Linked DNA regions of Bombyx mori. The protein of the gene in region 1 purifies or fractionates together with the protein of each later gene. This does not show direct contact. Links are inferred from orthologs where the notes say so. Each region holds a gene or a part of one and is shown in the gene's direction. Other genes may lie near its edges.

Region 1 (3,662 bases):
ATTACTAACTCCTCATCATTCACAGTAGATAGATAATTAGATTAACTTTATTTTGTGTATTAACCGTTCCCCTAGTTCTGTGAATCTAGTATAACCCCTTGAGGTTACTAAAATACAATACTAGGCTACAATTACTCTGTTCAAGGACATTTGTGTATGAAGTGTCGCTTATGGTTGGTTTTACGACTATGCGAAATTCAATAACAATAGCAGAACTTTTTTTGCCCATCGACCCCTTGATGGCGGGTATTTGAAGACGTTTTGTCAAATCGCCAGAATATTAATTCGAGTTTGTTATTAGATAAAATAACGAAAAAGTTTAAAACTGTTATAATTTTTCCTACTCAAAAATATGTAACAAAAAAATCGATACTTAATTTTCAGCATCATATATTTTAATGTGTAAACTGTCAGACTCAAATCGCTAACACATGGAAGAGTCAGCCATGACGCTAATATAATTAATATGAGTGGCACCCAACGAATGCTGACACGCTCATCAATCAATAACTTCACACTGCCGTTACTTATCTTATACCTTTAAACGAGCAATTCTTGTATATTAATAAATATGTATATAATCTGAAACTCGGAAACGGCTCCAACGATTTTCATAAAATTTAGTATACAGGGTATTTCGGGGGCGATAAATCGATCTAGCTACGATTTATTCTCAGAAAATGTTGTTTTATTCGCGTTTTCAATAATCAACTCTTCCCGACATCTATTGGCGAATAATAATACTATTTTTCTTAATTGAGGGCGACTAACAAGATGGCGTTATCAAAAAAAAAAACGAACAAAGCTCGGTCACCATCTAGTAGTTCACTTGAAATACAAGCGCTCGTCTTGGTAAACACACTTCACATTTCTGAAAACAAAGCACCGCCCGGCGACTTCCGTGATAATTCCTTATCGTTGCAAAGTTTCTAACTGTAACCGGTTTCTCGTACAAAATCGAGCTTTTTTTGCTTCCTCTATGCATGTACTAGATATACCTAGGGGCAAGATTAAGCTGATTGTATCAGATTTTGATATAATAACCTATTTTTTTATAATTTTTTTATTGCTTCGATGGTGGATGAGCTCACACACAGCCCACCTGGTGTTAAGTGGTTACTGGAGCCCATAGACATTTAGCACCAGTAATTACGCAAATTATAATTTTGCGGGTTTGATTTTTATTACACAACTAGCGACCCGCCCTCGCTTCGCTTCGGAAACATTAAAACACACATGAATCCAAAAAAATAAAATATTTTTTTTTAAAAAAAAGTAGCCTATGTTCATCATGGACAATGTCGGCTTCTAATGGAAAAATAATTTTTCAAATCGGTCCAGTAGTTTCGGAGCCTATTCGAAACAAACAAACAAACAAATCTTTCCTCTTTATAATATTAGTATAGATGTTATTCCTTCACCGTGGATATTTCTCAAGAACATATTTCATTGAAAAAATTTGTACCTGCCGGCGGGATTCGAACACCGATGCATCGCTACATACAAATGCACCGGACGGCTTATCCTTTAGGCCACGACGACTTTCTGATCCCTATTGGTTATCGGTCTCTTATAATTTATTGTATCCTCAGACAGTCCAGCATGGCTTCCCGCACAGAGCGTCAGCACTCGCGTGGGATCCGCTCCTCAGACTCGCGGCGCTTGGTACCGCCACCGGAGCGCTCAAGGTCTACGGCAGACCAGGCGTCGAACTCTACGGCCAACACACCAATTACGAATCGATAGTCACACAGATACATTTCATCACAGGTAAGCAAAGAAAATAAATACCTTCATCCTTCATTAATCCTCTTCGGATTATATATCGCATAGCATATAACTTCGAGACCATTGCGATTAGTTTATTCAATCGAGTAAGGCTTATATATGATCAACTAGAAAAAATCCAACGCGCATAAGTAAATCTACAAAAATATATAAAAAAGTTTTAAAATGAATTGAAATGAGTCATTTGAGTTTGAAAATGAGTCATTCATTACTCTGCTCTGCCATTCATTTTTTTCTAAATTTATTATTATGGTGATAGATATAAACTTCGAAAAAAGTCATAAGATGATAATATATTCATATTTATGGTAAAGCAAACAAAAAAGTAAATTCATCTTTGACAATTCCATCATTCAAACTCAAACAAATTGTAATACTGTAACTATCTCTGCTGAGCTTCGTACGTGACGCACCTAGCTAGTTTTTACCTCTTAAACTTCTAAACTTTTAATATACTTTTCCTTAGAAGCAATGGAAACTGTTTTTGACATTTACTATCATTAATTTACTTCTAAATATTGTTAAATTATATCGTTTCACAATAAGGATACTGTGACCTTGCATGGTAGTTGTCCACGTAGTCGTTATACCAAGAAAATACCACATTCTCGATCAGCCGCTACCTCAATTAACTAAAATTACTATTCTCTAACCCAATGCCAATTGTACTTTTTTTTTTAAACATGCGATTTTACGTGGTATCACCATATTTGTCCGCATCATTATGACGCAACGCCCAAATGAAGCTATTCTCGTTCGGTTTACAGGGACAGGCCGTTTGATATCATTATGCGACGATAACAGCCTTCACTTGTGGGAGATCAACGAGAAATCTCTAGTGGAATTAAAGTCGCATGTATTCGAAGGTAAAAATAAAAAGATATCGGCCATATGCGTAGAATCGTCAGCGAAGAACGCTTTACTGGGAACCGAAGGCGGCAACATTTACTCATTGGATTTGAGCGCTTTCACGATCTCGGAAGATGTCATATACCAGGATGTCGTTATGCAGAAGTGAGTGATTAATCTAGATTTGTTTTTAATTTTAGTTTCCTGAGTCTATTCAATGAGGTCATGCTGATCATTATTGTGGTCAGTTTATTTGTACCACAAAGCTACTTTGGAAGACAGTTCAATAGCTATCGCATTGCTCTTCACACTATGATCTCAAATTTGCGGTGCATAGTTTTTTTGTCGAAAGTCTTCGATATTTTTATTATCAATCTGTAGTAGGTACCAATTTTTCTAATGAAATACGTACTCAACCAATGTTCACGATTGACTTCCACGGTGAAGGAATAACATCGTGTAATAAAAATCAAACCCGCAAAATTATAATTTGCGTAATTACTGGTGGTAGGACCTCTTGTGAGTCCGCGCGGGTGGCTACCACCACCCTGCCTATTTCTTCCGTGAAGCAGTAAAGCATTTCGGCTTGAAGGGTGGGGCAGCCGTTGTAACTATACTTGAGACCTCAGAACTTATATCTCAAGGTGGGTGGCGAATTTATGTTGTAGATGTCTATGGGCTCCAGTAACCACTTAACGCCAGGTGGGCTGTGAGCTCGTCCACCCATCTAAGCAATAAAAAAAAGTAAACAAACTTGGTTCTCTCTGATATTAATAGTCAAATCTTTATATTCCAGCTGCCCAGAGGATTACAAAGTTAACCCAGGCGCGGTGGAGTCTGTATACGAACACCCTAAGACTCCTACACGTATTCTGATCGGATACAACCGAGGACTGGCCGTGCTTTGGGACCGGGAGGCTGCGGCTCCCACACATACATTTGTTTCGAATCAACAGCTTGAAAGCTTATGCTGGAATGACGATGGTAATTATTTAATTTAGATAGAATAATGATTATTACAAATT
Region 2 (3,443 bases), on another chromosome or scaffold:
TTTTCGACTAAGGCCCTTTTTGTAGAGAGAAATTTTTTACACTTTTGTTAGCCCGCTGAGTTTCTCGCCGGATCTTCTCAGTGGGTCGCGATTCCGATCCGGTAGTAGATTCATTCGCGAAGCAGTTGCTCTTGAGTTGTTAGATCTTCGCAGGCGCTCGGGCAGTTGTTAGCAAATCCCACCCCTCCTGGCTGAGCCTTTGCTCGCCCACCTGTCCTGGTGAAGCTGGAAAGGCCTCCGGGCAAGCAGTAATCTTTCAATCATAAAAAAAATTATTTTTTTGTCAACGCCCATTATAGAGAAGGAGCGGTGTATTACGAGTTGCTAAATCGATAGAAAAAAATATAATTCATTAAATGGTGACCCCCCAATAACCGTTTCACGGCCCCCACAAGGGTCGCGACCCCTAATTTTCGCTTCACTGCTTCAGGCCATGATGGCTTAAAATTTTGCACTAATTTTTTTGTTGTTGAATTCTTATTTAAATGGCACAGTTATATTATATTGCTCGCTCACCTCACGCCGTCGGCCATGACGAGACTGAAGCCCAAAGCTCGCGAAACGCTTTGTCAATCTGACCTTTATATATACTGCGACATCCGATCCACTTGCAAGCTTTCAAGCGTATGAAGGATTGTGACAAATATAATAATTTTATTATTTAGACCTTAAAAAAATGACGTTTTATATTCACTTCGCTATTAAAGTGTATTGCATTTTTTTTTATTGCATAGATGGGTGGAGGAGCTCACAGCCCACCTGGTGTTAAGTAGTTACCGGAGCCCATAGACGTATACAACGTAAATGCGCCACCCACCTCGAGATATGAGTTTAAGGTCTCAGTATAGTTACAACGGCTGTCCCACCCTTCAAACTGCATTACTGCTTCACGGCAGAAATAGGCAGGGCGGTGGTACCTACCCGTGCGGACTCACAAGAGGTCCTACCAACAGTAGAAACTTTTTTGGTAACTTGGCGAATAATTGGTGAATACCACTATTTACTCTGCACTACCTTTGGTTGACTGGTAGAGAATGTCTTAGGCATTAAGTCCGCCAATGTAAATTTTACATGAATTGTAATAAATAAAATATAATAATCATGAAAACTCTTACCCAGGTTCGATCAAGACGAGCAAGACGAGATCGTCGATCTGACCGCCGTGACGCTGGAGGAGTACCCGGAGGGCGGCGCGCGCGGCCCGGCCCGCGACGACGGACACGTGCTGCACCTCTAGCGCGTCGCGCGCCGCACTGGGAGACGACCGCGGGATAGAGAACGCTCTGATGACGTAAGACATTATTCAAGCCGTCATGACCGAGTCACGGGAACCCTCATACACATATAGAAGAACATTATCAGAATTTTAGTGAGCCAGTCAAATTTGTTTAGGTTTTTAGTTGAAACATTTGTTGAGTCTCTATATCGGGCAAGGATTAATAAGACACGTGTTCAGTTAAGTGACTTAACGTATTTGGGATTACAACCTAACGTGCTATCGACAGCCCGACAATCCCGAGACTGACGTAGCATCATTGCAATATAATTACCGCTAACACATGCATATAATTATTAGTTGCTGTGAGGACATTTGTGGTCCCTACACATTTAAAAAAAAATGTGAGGGATACGTGATGCTTCCGTAAATAGATAAACGGAACATATGGCTCTGATAAAGTTTGATTTTAACGTTAAAACTCTTATCTCTGCACTAAATCGATATTTGTATAATACCGGTAAGTTTGTATTGTTTCTCTATCCCCGAAACTAAACTCTGTTCCATACGAAACAAGTGTCAAATTCCTAAAAAACATTCCATTTAGGATACGAGTGTGTTAAATTTTAATGGTGCGTATATTTTCCATGTGAAAATTGTAAAAGACAATAATTATTAGGGGAGGTCTTATAGCTTGTGTACTTAATCATTCCGTTGTATGCCTTATATCGTAAGTGATAAGTGTCAAATTAGATAAAACTTAGTTGTCACAATTATTTAGAAGCAATAACACGTTATTGTTTTAAGTTTTTTTTTTAATTATTATGATTATTAAAAAACATTTATGAAATAGAAAATGTATATTATTATAAGTTGGATAATATGTTAATTGAGTGAACGAATGGATTTTTTGTCATTCTGTAACATTCGCCATTCACTCCGAGCGAATGTTTATGTTTTTGATTGACCAGTAGGATTCATAGATTATAGACCCGAGAGATCACGGTTTAGAAACTAGGCAAGTTTCTAATTATTCTGAAATCGATTAAGTAAAGTATACTCACGAACGCTCAAGGTGGCCTGGGCGATGGCACGAGCAATGAAAAGTACTCCAGGCCTATTATCGGCCTAGTAAGTTAAGATTTTCACATATCAAATGTTCAATTGGCATGGAATATAATAATGAATTAATAACATTGTTAAATGGTGCTTAAAAAACACTTCGAAAATGTCCAAATCGTAAAATGTAAAGCTAACTTTAACTATTGTGTCATAAAAAATAAAAATAAAAAAGATTAAAAATTCTTGCTATGCGCTTGAGTCTTATAGAATTATTATAAATTGTCAAATCAAAAATATCGATAATAATGTTTAAATATATTTAAATAGTATTAAACATAAGTGCCTTTATGACAATATGTTTTCCATTATTACAAATAACATTCCATTGTAACTAATTTAAAAAAAAAAATTTGTGAAACACTATTTGTTAATTTTATTACAACGTCAATTATGTTCCTGATTATTCAAATTGAAAATTTTCAAAGACGACGACCTATTTAATAATAAAATGAAAAGAAACTAAAAATATATTCAACAAACAACAAGAAATAAATAAAAAATGCATTTCAATATCGCTAGTCTATTGTTGTTCCTGACGTTTGGAGAAATTGATTTTGTCTATGGTCTATCGTTGAAAATATCGCACATATTATGGTGCTTTAATATTAAAGTCACTTATGCAAAAAAAAATTTACAGTGAACTGATTATGAGAAATAATTTTTTTAGTTATTAGTTATACCTAGTGAGACGAAAGAGATGTTTGCTTTTACTGATGAAGTTTGTAGTTTAAATATTATGATTTTATTTCTATAGCCTAGAAGAACTATATACGAATTACATATATATACATATATATAGTAAGATGTTGAATTTTCCAACGTTTCTCCTGAAAAATTACATAATTTGCATAAGTGACGTTATCGCATCGTATGTGCGATATATCAATTAATATTAATATAACAAGGACATAATATAACGAAGGGTGAAAATGTATTTGGCTTAAGCGACATTTTTGCAACTTTACAAGAGAGCCATTTATAGGTTGAAAAATAAAAAAAAAAAATCTTGACAAAAAAACTTTTTTAGCTATTTGAATGGAGAACACTTTATTGAAGTTCAATTAAAAACATCGAATTGTTGATGCGAATGTCAAATAAAACTTTT

Evidence for each region. Proteins that work in one complex are often made in the same cells at the same time.
Region 2: the proteins of lethal(2) giant larvae protein (region 1) and partitioning defective protein 6 purify together in Drosophila melanogaster (affinity purification with western blotting; 5 studies listed by BioGRID, with this or other methods). This does not show direct contact. The link is inferred for Bombyx mori from reciprocal best matches to the Drosophila melanogaster genes l(2)gl and par-6.

What each region holds. Positions count from the first base shown.
Region 1 is NC_085123.1:3,351,645-3,355,306, forward strand, and holds part of lethal(2) giant larvae protein, read left to right. Parts: intron 1-1,592; coding exon 1,593-1,770; intron 1,771-2,555; coding exon 2,556-2,802; intron 2,803-3,433; coding exon 3,434-3,621; intron 3,622-3,662. UniProt on the Drosophila melanogaster protein: Essential for the development of polarized epithelia, for cell polarity associated with asymmetric cell division of neuroblasts during development, and for oocyte polarity formation.
Region 2 is NC_085126.1:2,348,405-2,351,847, forward strand, and holds part of partitioning defective protein 6, read left to right. Parts: intron 1-1,119; coding exon 1,120-1,237; 3' UTR 1,238-3,443.